3 linked regions of the Schizosaccharomyces pombe genome follow. The protein of the gene in region 2 interacts with the protein of the main gene of each other region in a biochemical or structural test. Each region holds a gene or a part of one and is shown on either strand. Other genes may lie near its edges.

Region 1 (4,842 bases), 360 kb from region 2:
TGGCAACATCTAGAAATGTACAATTATAATTTGCAAAGAATTTTTTTCCAAAATGAACGTTAAATCCGTAATCAAAAGCCATAGGTGGCTCAATCTCTGGTGCTGAAGATTCGTCAAATACAAAAACTTCAGCCAACAGTTCAGCTCGTCTTTTAATCAATTCTGCTGGGCCTACATTTTCCAAATCTCCCATAGTGTCATTAAACCTTCGCATTAATTTTTTAGCATTACATCTCGCTTGAGTCAACTCCTCGTCGTAAGCCTTGTACCTGTTATTTAGTAATTAGAATATCTCCCTGCGTTCAATGTGACTTCAAACATGTCAACGAAGATGATATATTAGCTCGACAAGTTTTAAGCATTAGCCTTACGGTTGACCAGATATCATTTTTTGGTATTCAATGGTTTTCGGTATCATTTTTTGTACACGAGTACGAGTCATTTCTGTCGGAAAACAAGTATATTCACTAGCATTGACAATGGGACTAGTAGAGTTATCGATGTATAAATAGACTTATATATATATATATATATGTATTGATATCAATATTAACAAATTGCTGATAAAACTATACGGAAACTTTTTAGTGAAATAGTTTGTAAAACGTAAGTAAAAACATCTCGATGATATATAGCGTCAGCTGTTACACTACATTATGCCCCACTATGCAACATATCATTAATTGTCGCATTGCTTTATGTCTGGCCCCTACTCGTATTACCACCAGCATACCAAAATTTATCAAGTTACAAGTAAATAGTTAGTGTAGCTTAACAAACGCTGAGGGCCGTAAACTGACAAGCAATAACAAGATATGCAATGAACGTTGTCCGTCCCTTTTTTAATCTTGCTTTCCTCCTGTATCATTAAACTGATTAAACTGGGTAGTAATCCCAAACTAATGTCATATAAAAAAAAAATTCAAAACAACTTAAATAGTACATCAAACAAAAATTGATAAGTAAATAAGCAATAAATATGATTTAAAAATAAATCCAAAGTGTATTTATTAATCGCCCTTGAAGTGTAAATGGCATATCGTGTCAGATTAAATGCTCAATTTCTGACGGCTTCGGTTTGCTGCGCTTAAACATTTTGCTTTAGTGTTAATAAATTTCAACTATGGGATTTTTTCATCCTTCTTCATGATAACTAGATTATATGAAAAAAGCATCTTTAAGACAACCAACAATGTTTTAATATCAGTAAAGTGCGTCAAATTTCGCATCATTAAACAAATAATGTCACTTATGATTAACTGAGTCATTAGCAAATGAAATGTGAATTTACGGGTTAAATACTATCATAACTTTTAATTAATACTTATCAAGATAAAACTCACTGTAATAATGTCTTACAAAGGTCGGTAAACAATCTAATTAAACAAGGATCAGATAATAAATTGATTAAACACAAATTTTAATTTTTTTATATTGATATATAAAAACGGTTAACAAATTTTTCCATCAATAAAAAAAAAATGAATTACACTACGTTTCAAAGTTATAACTATTTTTTTATAACAAACATCAACTGAAAAGCAAGAAAATCTATATTCAAAAAAATAATATAAACGCTACAAAAAATCAAACAGTAAAGGGTTTCGAATTGCTTTTCTCTATAATTCAAATGAATTTCAAAATAATTGGGACAAGTTGCCAACACACACGCCATACTAATTTTGTGATACTTGCTCAACCAAAAATATGTAGCACCACATTCTCTATTTAAAGATTAGCGCAGCACAAGGAGCCGCTCGATAAAAGTGCTGCTACAAACGTTCAAGAACACAAGTTTATTCTTGTACCACAATTCAAGTGTTGCTATTGTTGTAAAAGGGCGTATATCAATCGGATTCAGTTTTTGCAATAAGTCTGACTGAAAAAAAAAATGGCGTCAGTGGAGGATGCCACGAAAGTTCAAGAAATGCTGGATGCGTTGAAGGCTGAATACAATGCTTTGGCTCATCATAGCTTCGCGTCCAAGGCGCGCGGAAACGACTATGAATCTTCTAGTACGTGTTTGAATAAAATAAATTAAATTAGCTATTTTTTGGAAACTAACATTCTGTTCTATTGCAGTGATACAATCTCAAATTCAAGAAATTGAAGCGTTCCGAAAAACCGTGGATGATATGTATGAAAAACAAAAATCTATTAGAGAAACGTAAGTTTTTATATGTTAAAGGTATCGAGGGATTATATAGTATCTACTTCTTTTCTGTGAAATTCATCATTATTTTATAATAGCATACGTGTCGCTCGAGATTTATATGCTTGAAGTAAAAAAAAAAAAACCTTTATAACATCTGTCTTCACCAATTTACTAACATTTATAGGTACGAAAAAGATATCAACAAGTTGAAGCGAGAGCTTGAAGAATTAGGTGTCGAAGCGAATACCGCAAGTTATAGAAATCGTGGAGAAAGATCTGAACTTGCCGCTTCTAATAATCAAGTTACCCATATTGATCAGGAACATCCCTCTCAAACCAAATCTACTTCTCAGCCTCCAAGTAACCATCTACCTGCCTTTCAGCAAATCCCTCCAATTCACCAATCAGCTTATCCTCAAAATAATGTTGCTGAAGTATTGATGCCTCCAATTCCTCCTTCAGTAGAGGCTTCTAGCGGGCAAAATTTTAATCAGGGAATTGCTTCTCAAAATCCCGCGATATCTACATCCAATTTACCTAGTACTACACCTTTATATATCCCTCCTGTTAATTACGGAGCAAATCAGGTTTCTCAACAACCAAATCCTCAATTGCCTGGTGTTTCCAATTATTATAATCCAAGTGCTACTTCAAAACCTGCTGTGAATGTCCAGCCACCGCGTATTCCTACCAAAGCAACTCCTTCGGCTGAACCTTCTATGACTGCTTCTGCGAATGCTGGTTCTATATCCCAAGCGGGTCCTGATGGAGAATATCAGGGAAGAGAACAGATTGCTCCAGTTTCAGATACAGAAGCTGCTAGAAAGACAACTTCTCAGAGTTGGTACGTCACTTATAACCCAGCATGCAAAAGGGTTTTTAATATTAATCTCGTGCACACACTAGAGCATCCCAGTGTTGTTTGCTGCGTTAAGTTTAGTAACAATGGCAAGTATTTAGCAACTGGCTGTAACCAGGCCGCTAATGTCTTTGATGTTCAGACTGGCAAAAAACTTTTTACTTTGCATGAAGAATCACCTGATCCTTCCCGTGATTTGTATGTGAGAACCATTGCTTTCAGCCCTGATGGTAAGTATTTAGTCACGGGAACAGAAGATCGTCAAATAAAACTCTGGGATCTCTCAACTCAAAAAGTTCGTTACGTATTTTCAGGTCATGAACAAGATATCTATTCCTTAGATTTTAGCCATAATGGGCGATTCATCGTCTCTGGTAGTGGCGATCGAACTGCACGACTCTGGGATGTGGAGACAGGTCAATGTATTTTAAAGTTAGAAATTGAGAATGGTGTGACGGCAATAGCCATCTCTCCAAATGATCAATTCATTGCAGTTGGTAGTCTAGATCAGATAATTCGAGTATGGTCTGTGTCGGGTACTTTGGTTGAACGATTGGAAGGTCATAAGGAGAGTGTTTATTCTATTGCCTTTTCGCCCGACAGCAGCATTCTTCTTAGTGGAAGTCTTGATAAGACTATCAAAGTCTGGGAATTACAAGCAACTCGTTCAGTTGGCCTTTCAGCTATTAAGCCTGAAGGTATTTGCAAAGCCACCTATACAGGACATACTGATTTTGTTCTTTCAGTAGCTGTTTCACCCGACAGCCGTTGGGGATTAAGCGGATCGAAGGATAGAAGTATGCAATTCTGGGATTTGCAAACAGGCCAATCTTATCTCACTTGTCAAGGACACAAGAATTCAGTTATTTCCGTATGCTTTAGCCCAGATGGTAGGCAATTTGCTTCGGGAAGTGGTGATTTACGTGCTCGCATATGGTCAATTGACCCTGCATCTCCTTGAATTTTTGTTCCTGTTTACATATAACTATTTGCTCTCGGAAATAGTTAACCGCATTGATTTTTGGTTACAAAGTTTACAAACTAAATTTTGTAAACTCTATTACTACACTGGTATATTTCCTTAATTTGTATCATATTTTTTTTGCAATATTATTTCCTTTACTTACGGTCACAATAGACAAATCATCACTCAGTTTTTTAATGTCACTAATTTTGGAGAATGGCTTCTCTCATAAATTAACTGAGACACTTTTTATTTAAAAAATAAACAATTAATAAAAAATTCCTTAATTTTTAATTTTAGTTCTATGATAAATGTTGCATAACTTGAGATAATACTTAATACTTTTCAATGTAGATTCTTGAAATACATGTGGTTGATTAAACATTTTTTAAATGGTTATTCTTGTATTTAGTAATTTGCATATCTCCACCTTGACTCCGAAATTCACCAACAGATTTATCATATACTCGCTAAAATTATGTATGTATTAACCATCTTCTGACTTCTTCAACGCGAAGAAGACTCATTGTTTCGATTTTATTGACTAAAACATAGAAATTGAATAAATCCTAATCGATGCTATATTGAGGTGTGCTTTTACAATCCGTTACAGTTCGATATCTGCACGTTTCTTAAGGCTATCTTTTCAGGAGTTTATAATAATCCTCCACGGCTTAAGCAGTCTATAATTTGGGTTTACTTCATTAAATCTTTAATTTAGCACTTTTTAAATATATTTAAAATCTTAATACTTAAATCGGTGCCAACCCAGGACCTATATTACGTTTGGGTTAAAGAAAAATTGTCGTTGTTTGCTGCATCGATTTATATCTAAGCTATGAAGGCTTTGGATATAGACACGAT
Region 2 (6,650 bases):
AGCAAGATTAATTAACATGTTATTGTTATTTGTTATTATGTTTTTAATACTATGTATTTATAGCATCTGTAATGTCTGCGTTTTTCAACTGCCAAAGAGCGCATTTTCTACAAGTTTCGGTTAATGTTGCAAATAACCGATTAGACTTTCATGTCATGACACTTGATTTCACTTGTGCTGACGCTTTTTTATGAACGGCATATCGCTGTTCAGCTGCTTTACCGACATGTAATGGCCAAATCTCGAGCTTGACACTTTGTAAAAAGTCTCAATAATAATTCCCCATCCACAACTGACATACATAATTGATAGTACTTACTAGCCTTTACCCTTGCCAGCCAGACAGCTTCCACTGTACTGAGGTCAGGGATCATGACATAGACTGATTGCAAATTACGAACAAGACCGTCAATCTGCACTTTAGCATCTCCTAAAATAATAATCGTTAAAGCCGACTAGCTATTAGGGATGACGGGAGGAGCAAAAAAATAGCCTGAAAAAAGAAAAAGAAAAGAAAGCGTATTTAAAGAAAGGTTAAAATTTTCTTTGTTCTTTCAATAAGTAAGCAGTTTACTCCTGGTCCAGAAGTGCGACGGACCTTGCGTGCCGGTAAGGAAGTTGCAAAAAAAAAAAAAAAGGAAAAAAAGAACCGAGATAAAGTTGACTTTCAACTTCCGTCTGCAGTAACCGGATTTCCCAAAAATTTCAACGGGTAATTCAATTATGCAAGGGGATTGTCATTCTTTTTTTTACATTTTTGAGTTTCACGACACATTAGTCCCTTAATTGCAGCTACAACCATGCCTTGTTGCCTATTTTTTTCCTTTGCTTAATTACAATTTCTCACCCCATTTGAAGTCATGTTGATTGAATTTTTCACATCCCGTTTTCAAGCTCTAACATCAGTCATTGTAGATGATTGATTGTAGAAAATTATATTTGTTTCCTTTTCGCGACCATTAAATGATTATTCAATAGTTGATGAATTATTGCCTTTGTTGTTTTGTTACTCATCATGGCAATTTTATCGTATTATTTGTTACATAGATTATTGTCATCCACTAAATTTTTTGATGGCCAAGCGTCGCTGTTTGGACGAAATATTCGATTACCGAGGACGGATGGCCATAATCAAGACTAGTTTGGTAAGAGAATTTGGCAGATGGGCTGGACGACATTTGTTGAAAGTGTGAGAAACGCTTCTGAAAAGGCATGTTTTCTATATTTCATTTCTATTCTGGTAAAGAATTGTGCGGAATACTATACCATGGACAAATGGGGCGGGCGACAAGGCAGCTACAGTATAAGCGGGCATATAGCATTCATTGTATAATACAGTATATAGTACATGGTAGGTAGAGTTGGATAGAGATGGTGAGAATGACAGTTGCATTATTTATGCGTAAAACTATATGTAAATTTTATAACTATTTATGTAAACATGCGTTTATATATGTGTATGAGTGTGCATGCTTGTGTACATTTGTGTGTGTGTGTATGTGTGGTGTGTATTGATGTTTGAATGGTATGATGACAATGATAAGCCATTTCTTACGAAAACTCCTTAAGTGAATATGGTTGAGTTGAATGGAGCGGCATTTGAATGGTAAATGATTAGTGATCTAAATTAATGAAAATTCATTCAGCGCCTCTGCCTCTACGGCCATGGCGGTTTTCGTAGATCTCAGCCCTTCAGAGTAGCAAGCGTCTCTTACGCTATAGTTGGGTGACGGCTAGGTACGTTGCATACTGCGCACATGGTGTTGTGGAATGTGTATACTTTTTCATAGGAAGGAGGTGCCAAACGCAACGCGCCTGGATGGTGATTGTTGGGTTGTTCCCTCGTCCGGCCAATTTTTTCCAGCTATTTTATTTTAAGGATAGAATAACAATGATGTTGTTCCGGTCTCACAAACATGATTATCTCATGCAAATTTCACCTTTTCTAAGTGGCTTTACCAAAGAAAACGCAACTTATTATTATCCAAACTCTTGCTAATTCCTTTTTACTTTCTCCACATCCCTCGAATTGGCTTGAGGCTTTTTCTTTTATCCTTTCTATCCTCAATTACTAGTTTTCTTAGCAGTTGTATTATTAGGACATTGCTTTGTTGTTTTACCCCCCCCCCATTGGAATTACATTCTGTGGGATTGAAGGAAAGAAAAAGAAAATTGCTTATTAAGAGTCGTATATACTTCATTCTTCAATTTACTACACTCACTACTTGCTTTTCTCCATCTACGATCTACCATTTTGTTAGGTAGACTTTCGTACTACAGCTACATCGCTTGTCGTCGACTTTGTGTGCTTTTGAAAACTGCCCTGGTAATTGCCGATTCTTTTGGGGGTTATTTATACTTTTGTTTTATCCAAATTACTAATCCGCCTGATTTGGACATTGATCAATTTTGGTAGTAGCGCAATCGCACCCCCTCAAACACAAAAACCTCATCATTGTCTCATGGTACAATATTGCCTTGGAACATCATTACTTTAAAGCAATACGATTGATACAAAGGTTTCCGCTAGTTGTTGATTGAAGGTTTGGTGTTTATCGTTTTTTCGTGTTTGATTTGCCTTTACAGACCCTCCGTGTTCGGCATACTTATTCTCCGGTATTGTAGATATTTATTTCTCTCCGATACCTTTTTGCATTTGCTGTTTCTCTTTACTGTTGCACCCTACATTTGATTGAGAAAGGGGTTTAGTGGTTGTCGTCAATTGTCTTTATTCTGAGAAAACGGCTTTCTTCTCCCTGATATAAGAAACCATTTGGTTTGATAAATATATTTCAAGTTCACTTTCTCACTGTTTTCCGCTTCTTTGCTGATTTATCGTTTGATCGACGGCCTTGCAATTTTACAACGTCGAGAATTTTAACTTCTTTCTTCGTGATTGCATTCAAATTTTGAAACTCTTTCGAAGTAGGTGTACCAGTTAACTTGATTGCTCATTCTTCCTCCCATTCTCTGCTTCTTGATGAACTAGCTGTTCTGGTCCAACACCAATTGTCGAATGCTTGTCAGTTCAGTTCTATTGCTTTAATTCGTCCATTTTTTATTTTTATTTTTTAAATTCCGCCTTTCTATTTTGTTCTTACCCTTCGACGAGTCGAAAAAAAAGGTTTTTTATTGCTTTTGTCGCTTGGTGACTTCGAACAAGGAAACTTTTCCCCTTATTATTGTTTGAGAAACACTTATTTTCGGTGGTTGGTATCTCTTTTCATCATTTTTGCTTCTGGTTTTGCATAATTCTAAAAGATACTTATCCCTTTTTTCAGGTTTCGACGTCTTCTACCTCTTCACTTTACCAATTTGCTCGCATGACTTAGACGGAATCTTTTTATTGTAAAATGCATTCCTTAAAACGTCGTAGAAATCATGCGCCTGATTGGCAGGACTTTTATAAAAATGGTGTTCCACAAGAAGTCATTGTTATAGAGGACTCAGCTTCTCCACGGCTTACCCCTAATTTACCGCCTCCTTTTTCTGTTCATCAATTACAATCCTTCGTACCTCCGCAACCTCCCTCATCATCATCACCCTCTACCACTGGCACTGTGGCAGTCCCTATCAATGGTGCGAATGCTGTTTATCCATCAACTAACTCGGTATCTCTTCCTCAATCCTATGATCCATGGTTGGATGCTAATGGCGTCGTTCCATTACCGCATGATGTCGCCAGCCATCCTTCATATATGGTTCAGTCTCCTACATCGTATCATGCGTGTTCAAATAATCAATCGCCATTTCCCCATTCACATCATCCTCCCCTTCATAATCCACTACCTGTTTCATGTCAACCTGTTTTACGGCCGCCTCCTGTCCCTCAAGTTCCTTCACACTGGTACCCGGTTTCGCTTCCCTCTCCTAATTTACCTCACCAACCAATTTCTAAACCTCCAGTGATCCCTAATTTACCAAAGCTCCAAGTCCATCCGAACAGGCTTCCACATCCCATCCATAATCATCCTTACTCGTCTCCAACCTCTTATCCTCCCCCACTATGTCCTGCAACGTATTGTCCTTCTAACCCTCCTCAGCTAGCTCCGGCTACTGCTATCGCTCCTTCCTCGCAATCGTCTCAACATAAAAGTGTAAATTATTCCGTCACCCCAAGTTCCATTAACAATCATACCGCTGTACCATTATCTCCAACGCTGGCCGTATGGCTTCCGATGACTCAACCAACTTTCCAACCTCCTTCTGCAAACGTTTATCAACCGGCTTCTAATGCCAATCAAGTTATCACTCCTGTATCTATTTCCGATTATCGACCTCCGAAGAAAAGGAAGCGAGCTGCATGGCCCCCATATAAAAAAGTCGACCGCGTAAATGTTCCTGTTGTGCATGATACTACCGCTTTTGATCCATCAACTTTTGATGATGATGACGGTCATTACAAGGTTGTACCTAACTCCAAATTTGCCAACCGTTATACAGTTGTTCGTTTGCTTGGGCACGGTACTTTTGGCAAAGTTATCCAGTGTTACGATCAAAGTACAGGTAGACATTGTGCTATCAAGGTGACTCGAGCAATTCCAAAGTACAGAGAAGCTAGTCTCATTGAATTAAGAGTTTTACAAACTATAGCTCATAGTGATCCGACAAATGAAAATAAGTGCATTCAGTTACGCGATTATTTCGATTACCGCAAGCACATCTGCATTGTGACTGATCTTTTTGGCTGGAGTGTCTTTGATTTTTTAAAGAATAACAACTACATTCCTTTCCCTTTGAAGCATATTCAGATGCTATCCCAACAACTTTTTAAAAGTGTTGCGTTTCTTCACTCTTTGGGACTAGTACATACCGATCTTAAACCCGAAAATGTTCTTCTGGTATCTAATGCCTCAAGAACTATTCGATTACCTTATCGGAATTATTCACAGAAAGTCCTTAATAGTTGTGAAATCCGGCTTATCGACTTTGGTAGTGCAACATTTGAAGATGAATACCATTCCAGTGTAGTGAGTACTCGTCATTATCGTGCTCCAGAGATTATTTTAGGGTTGGGTTGGTCTTATCCTTGCGATGTTTGGAGTATTGGATGTATTTTAGTTGAGTTATTCACGGGACAAGCCTTGTTTCAAACCCATGAAGATAGTGAGCATCTGTGCATGATGGAAAAAATCCTGGGTCCCTTTGATAGGAATATGATTTCGCGTTCCTCTCGTACATCGCAACGTTTTTTTAAATCTGACGGAAAAGTCCGTTATCCTTTGTCAAATACGCCTAAAAAAAGCATTAATTATCTTCAATCTCTGCAAACGCTAGAGCAAATATTTGCAGTATCATCTCCAGAAGTGGCTTTGCTGCTTGATTTATTGAAAAAAGTATTCGTTTACGATCCTAAGCGGCGAATAACTGCAAAAGAGGCCCTTTGGCATCCCTTTTTCACCCAACCAATTTCTTCAAATTTGTGATGGATAAACTTAGAGATTTATAATTTACTTCATGTTTTTCAATAATTTTCACTCTTTCTAATTTACAAATCTACGGAAGTCTCGTATTTCTGGTTTGTGTTACGCTTTAGCTGATGTTTATTCGTTTGTTATTATTCAGTTTCTTAGACGAAAACTCGCATGTTCTACAATTACTTTAATTGCATAGAGTACTTGGTTATCCGATATAAATTAAAACTCAAAATTGTCCTCTTTTTAGATTATTCCATAAAGGTTTGATTAAGTCGTCAATTACACTCGTAAATTTTGGTCCTTGGGTTAAATAGTAGTTACTCAGTGAAATAAAAGAAAAAAAGATCATTAATGGTTTTCAGGACTATTTTAATAGATACGGATTACCTTGACAATTTTTTTGAAGTCTGAAGTATTTTGTTATGAACATAATTGTATAATGAAGAAAAGGTTTGCCCATTTCATTAAACAACAGAGATCACTTGCCTGAGACCCAATTTATATAATATGAGACAATAGCTCAAGTAGTTAGAACTTTAAAGGATCCGACTCCTCTTTTAAATTTTCCTCATTAAATAGATAAGCCAGAGGCTTTCCAAAATAACGAAACAATGAGATATCCGATATTTTAAGAGTCATTCCATCAAACGCCAAAGCTATATGTAAGTCTTCTGTCGAAATATCAATGTCTGGTAATTTGGGATATCGTTGGCTAAAATGAGTCAAAATAACGTTTTTTGTACCAGCTTTTTTGGCCACTTCTAAAGCTTCAGAGTAAGTACTGTGTTGCTTTTTTATTGCAATTTCGTGCATAGAGTCTTCCAAAGTAGCTTCGTGAATTAATAAAGTTGAGTCTTTGGCAATGTTAGCAAAATCCTCAGAAGGTCGAGTATCTCCAGAGTATGCGATCTTCCAACCACTGGAATTAGTAATCTCCATGCAATATGAATACGGGCAGTGTATGGCAGGAACCGTTCGAAAAGATACTAAATCAAATTCTTTAAATAAAGAAGACAACCTAGAGGATTCCAAAGCAGACGGCTTCCTGTCAGTACGTAAAGCACTATTGGAAATAAATACGATGTTGGATAATGGTAGATAATCAATCCTTGAGTATTCTAGTAGCCAAAATTCAAATTGTGGAGGTGCTGTTATAAACAACTTTGATCTGCCATCTGAGTACTTCGTCCAAGCCTTTAAAACCCCTATAACACCAGCATGATGGTCAGCATG
Region 3 (5,293 bases), 280 kb from region 2:
TTTTCGGCTTTGCAGTCAATTTCAAACAATGCCTTAAATGAAAATATTGAGCAGCCTCCGATAAAGATGGCTGCTCGTCATTCCTACCCAAACTTTTTACAGACTCTTCCACAGTATATGAATGATGTTTATAATCCATCCGGATTAGCCTTTAACCCTGTGAATCCCAATGCTAATAATTCATTTGTTAATTTGAATTTAATTCAATTCACATCACCATCTCAAGCTCTGTTCGATTACGGAGAAGGTCCTTATGTCGACCAAAAATCACAGTATTTGCAGCCAAAACAGCCGTCTTCTAACACTGATTCAATTGACCAATCTTCCTATAACATGTCTCTTGCTGCTTCCAAACAATTTTTAACGTCTGACACGCAACCCGATGTCAATGAAAATTACTCTTTTATTTCCAATTCTATCCCAAAAAACTTATCCACCTCTTGGAACCAGAATATGGGTTATCATGTAACTAATTCAAACTCAGAACTGGCCTCTCAAAACCCGCTTTATGCTCAACAGGCCGTGTCAATGGAGAGTATGGGCAATGCCATTCAGTCAAGCGCTTATTCCGCTATGTCGACTCCGCATGGAGGTCATTATGACCACTATGCCGCCACTGCGAAAGGTAAAAATCCTTTAGCTGCTGAAAACCACGCTTCTGGTGGTCGTTTACCCAAGGTTCCAATTCCTCCACTCTCGAATATGCGTCGAGGATCTGTTCCTATCATACCTTCATCTGCTTCTTTACCAATGCGTACTTCGGGAAATCGATTCTGTCATTATTCTTCATTAAATGGAAATCACAATCGAATTTCGGCACGTACGAATCCTTATCCCATTAACAACCAAACGATGCTTTTTACTGAACCACTTTCAAAAGAACGCGGCTCCTTGTCATGATTACAAAAAAATTCTTACGAATATTAAGTTTTGTGAGGTTTTTTTTCTTTTTTTTTTTTAAATGTCTTAACGTTATGTATTAATCCTTTTATCCAACTCTTGTTATATGTGCCATATATAAGTAAAAACATTCCATTCAAGTAATGTTTTTTTTATGTGTTTACTGCACAGCTCAATATCTGTTTTTGTACTATTTGCTTTACATTCTGTTCATGTTAGTGGTAGTTTTCAGATGCTCTAGGATAGCTTTTTCCACCAGCAATAACTTATTCTTCAAAGCGGCTTTAAAATTGAAGTTTTTGCGAGTAGCATACTAAATGAATATTTATGCCAAGCAAACAAACCCTTTCAATAAATCTAGGAAGTGTATCATAGTAAATTAAGTCAATGGGCTGAGGAGCAGGCCGTCTATGGCGTATGAAAATTCGAGACTAGTTTCTGGAAATAGCATATAGTGTTTTCAAAGTTATTCACTATCAAGATGAAATTAAATTACGTTAACTTCTATGGAATTCATCCTTAAAGTAAGTTTGTTTCAAAATACCCATAAAATAGTTTTCTTGATTGACTTTAAGAATTCATATTAGGATTATGACATCTACACTTTTGTAAAACTAAACTTCCAATAAAAACCAATACCAAATAATGTTTTATTACCAATTGTATCAAAACGCTTCATATTCTTCCCAAAAAAAAAAAAAAAGGATCTTCTATCTAAAGATTTTCAAGGTTTTAGAGTTAAGATATTTCACGAACTAATTCAAAAAGGGTTTCAATCGATTAACGTTAAAAAATATGTTTTACGAGGTTTCATCACAAATTAATGATTTTACATTTTCCAACTGCGGCAAGTTGAATGAACAGCCAAATTACTAATTCAACAATATTGTCTCGCTAAGCATAAGTGAAATTGTCTTTCCTGACATGTTAATCTCAACATAGTTTGCTTACTTTAGCTTCGAAGCCGAGAAGGTTTTACCGAAATTAACGAATGTTATTTCTCGTTATTTCTCAAACAACATCATTCATGATTACTGTCCGCCAATTCACTTTTACCATCTTCAAGTTTCAATTTATGGCGACGTCCAATGTATCATCACGTGTAAATGAGCTTTTAGAAGCGGTTAAAAAGGAATTTGAAGATATTTGTCAAAAAACTAAAACCGTTGAAGCTCAAAAGGATGATTTTGAATATAAAGGTATCTTATACAAGAATTTGCTGACAAATTTGCGGTACAAATCTAACACTTCTTAAATTAGCAATGATATCTGCACAAATTAATGAAATGGCGCTCATGAAACAAACCGTTATGGATTTGGAGATGCAGCAGTCTAAAGTGAAGGATCGGTATGTCAATTTTCCTAATACACGCTTGGCGAGAAGGTTTGTTATATTAGTACAAGGTTATGCAATTATTGTGAGTGTTGTAGAGTCTTACAAAAGCGATTCCTCTCTAAATATTTATACAATTTACGGTCGTTGACGATAAATCTTTAAAGATGCTAAATAATGGTGGCTCCTTTGATGGGAGTAAATTCTATTAAGTAATCTTTTCATATTTTTACTCCGATGAAGGGTATTTCGTTTTTTACTCAGTATTTGGATGTTTATCACTGTTCGAAGATTCTCTGTCCTTTTCACACTTTTGTCAGCACCAGCATGCCTTCTGCTATGTGAACATTTATTCTCAATTTTATATTATATTTTCTCGAAAGCTATCTTTCTTGTTACTAACTCTCTCTAGTTACGAAGAAGAAATCACCTCCTTAAAAGCTCAACTGGAAGCTAGACGCAAAGAAATTGCTTCTGGCGTCGTCCCACAGTCTTCGAAAACTAAACACGGGCGCAATAGCGTTTCTTTTGGAAAATATGGAAATGCGGGCCCTTTTAACTCGGACAACTCCTCGAAACCTTTGATACTTAATAACGGTTCTTCTGGAGGAACTCCTAAAAATCTTCGATCACCTGCCATTGATTCAGATGGTACTGTTTTAGCTCCTATTCAGACCTCGAACGTAGATCTTGGTTCACAATATTATTCCAGTCCTCATGTACGCCCTGCTGTGGGTGCAACCATGGCTGGATCTGCTATGCGAAGTAAGTTCAAGCTTGCATTGTAGCTTTTGGCAACAGCATTTGTTTTTTGACTTGATCAAGTTTATAGATACTTTTTGTCTTTCACTTTATTGTTTGCATCTGGTATGTTGTACACCGTATGTTCCCAGACAATTTTTTAATGCTGTCATTAATTCGTTTGAATTCCTTGCGGCTTTTGTTCATTTTTTGTAAAACAAAATACTATTGCCGAAACTATTTTGCTTCCTCGTTTTAATTTGGATTTTCTTACTTACCATTCACAGCATTTCCTTCCAATTTACCGCTCGGACATCCTCCACCTCCATCTGACTCAGCTAATTCTTCCGTCACACCTATCGCTGCTCCTTTGGTTGTAAACGGAAAAGTCTCAGGTAATCCTCCTTATCCTGCTGAAATTATTCCGACATCCAATGTGCCTAATAGAGAGGAGAAAGATTGGACTGTCACTAGCAATGTACCTAACAAAGAACCCCCGATCTCTGTTCAACTACTTCATACACTGGAACACACAAGCGTTATTTGTTATGTAAGGTTTAGTGCCGATGGAAAATTTTTGGCTACGGGTTGTAACAGAGCAGCTATGGTTTTTAATGTGGAGACCGGTAAATTAATTACGCTTCTGCAGGAGGAATCTTCGAAGCGTGAAGGTGATTTATATGTTCGCAGTGTAGCATTTAGTCCTGATGGTAAATACCTTGCTACTGGTGTCGAAGATCAACAAATCAGAATATGGGACATCGCTCAAAAACGTGTTTATCGTCTACTGACTGGGCATGAGCAAGAAATTTATTCCCTTGATTTTAGCAAAGATGGAAAAACATTGGTTTCTGGTAGTGGAGATAGAACTGTTTGTCTTTGGGATGTTGAAGCTGGCGAGCAAAAACTAATTTTGCATACCGATGATGGTGTTACTACAGTAATGTTTTCTCCCGACGGTCAATTTATTGCTGCAGGTTCTTTAGATAAGGTAATTAGGATTTGGACATCGTCCGGAACTTTAGTAGAGCAGCTTCATGGTCATGAAGAGAGTGTTTACAGCGTTGCCTTCTCTCCTGACGGAAAATACCTGGTTAGTGGAAGTTTGGATAACACAATTAAGTTATGGGAGTTGCAATGCGTCTCCAACGTTGCACCCAGCATGTATAAGGAAGGCGGTATTTGCAAGCAAACTTTTACTGGACATAAAGATTTTATTCTAAGTGTCACTGTCTCTCCGGATGGAAAATGGATTATTAGCGGCTCGAAAGACCGAACCATCCAATTTTGGTCCCCCGATTCTCCTCATTCTCAGTTAACTCTCCAGGGACACAATAACTCAGTAATATCGGTTGCTGTTAGCCCGAATGGCCATTGCTTTGCTACTGGTAGTGGTGACTTACGAGCAAGAATTTGGTCTTATGAGGATCTGTAAGAACTAGCGATGTTTCATTTATAGCATTGAATGACAATGTCCGAAACCTACTTAATTTTTTAATTCTTCATTTGCCAATAATGCCCATTGACCATTGTGAGACTCGCTTCTTGGCAAGTCTTTTTTCCTTTATTTTATAAAAATTCATAACCGATTTTGTAACCCTTCAAACTTGCGGCTTATTTTGGTCGGAATTTTTCTATCAAGTCAAGCCGACCAGATGTTTTTGCTAATTCTTGAATCATTTCAATTCCCTTTTTTTAATTTTTGATACTTCCATACAATCCCCGACAACCGAAACTCTGATTTTATCCATAGTATTTCATTAACTATTAAATCCCAACTTTTGTATATATTTAATAGACCCTTCAAGTTATGTATATGTTTGCGCGACCTAGCTACTTAGCAATTGGTTTTTACGGTTAAATAACTTCATATATTTTTTGAATTTTGAATGTCGAATACTAAGTTTCTATTTATTAGTTTTAATGTCGTTTCAACCTATTCCTCTTAGATAAGGTAATGCTTCCCCTAATTCATAGCAGCCTGTCAGCTCTCCTCCCCACCCCTACCAGTGTAGCTAATACTTGAAATCAACTTCCATGCTCATAGTTTATGATCTTGAATATTCCATTAAGTTAAGAGTTCAGATTTGCTTTATGTGGTTATTCTGCTGAAGGTCCTAATTTATTGACGTTGAAAAATAAAGGCCACATAGATGAACAATAAATCACTTTTGGATCTTTCTAGTGAGCCTGCTATCAAAGATACAGACATTCTATCATATTTTGATGCTAACCTTCCTTTTAAAAAAAGGCATCAGATTGTAAGGAGTATTTACCATGGCTTAAAATACTATATATATTCATCGACTTCTATCATTC

The links. Proteins that work in one complex are often made in the same cells at the same time.
Region 1: the proteins of lkh1 (region 2) and tup11 form a complex in vitro, tested with the Schizosaccharomyces pombe proteins (one study listed by BioGRID).
Region 3: the proteins of lkh1 (region 2) and tup12 form a complex in vitro, tested with the Schizosaccharomyces pombe proteins (one study listed by BioGRID).

The regions. Positions count from the first base shown.
Region 1 is NC_003424.3:298,761-303,602, reverse strand, and holds tup11 (transcriptional corepressor Tup11), read left to right. Parts: upstream 1-1,806; 5' UTR 1,807-1,891; coding exon 1,892-2,015; intron 2,016-2,082; coding exon 2,083-2,167; intron 2,168-2,191; exon of another isoform or gene 2,192-2,339; coding exon 2,340-3,975; 3' UTR 3,976-4,325; downstream 4,326-4,842. Other genes in the region: SPOM_SPAC18B11.09C (serine O-acetyltransferase activity), read right to left, coding at 1-269, 372-442; SPOM_SPAC18B11.11 (GTPase-activating protein), read left to right, coding at 4,817-4,842.
Region 2 is NC_003424.3:655,536-662,185, reverse strand, and holds lkh1 (dual-specificity), read left to right. Parts: upstream 1-2,008; 5' UTR 2,009-3,353; coding exon 3,354-5,426; 3' UTR 5,427-5,945; downstream 5,946-6,650. Other genes in the region: 3' tRNA-processing endonuclease tRNAse Z L2 Trz1, read right to left, coding at 5,946-6,650. UniProt on the Schizosaccharomyces pombe protein: Protein kinase that may act as a negative regulator of filamentous growth and flocculation. Appears to have a role in normal cell wall and septum formation and in cell separation.
Region 3 is NC_003424.3:373,799-379,091, reverse strand, and holds tup12 (transcriptional corepressor Tup12), read left to right. Parts: upstream 1-1,954; 5' UTR 1,955-1,975; coding exon 1,976-2,099; intron 2,100-2,160; coding exon 2,161-2,248; intron 2,249-2,645; coding exon 2,646-2,998; intron 2,999-3,261; coding exon 3,262-4,409; 3' UTR 4,410-4,776; downstream 4,777-5,293. Other genes in the region: gluconate transmembrane transporter inducer Gti1, read left to right, coding at 1-900; Rheb GAP, tuberin Tsc2, read left to right, coding at 5,128-5,293. UniProt on the Schizosaccharomyces pombe protein: Transcriptional repressor.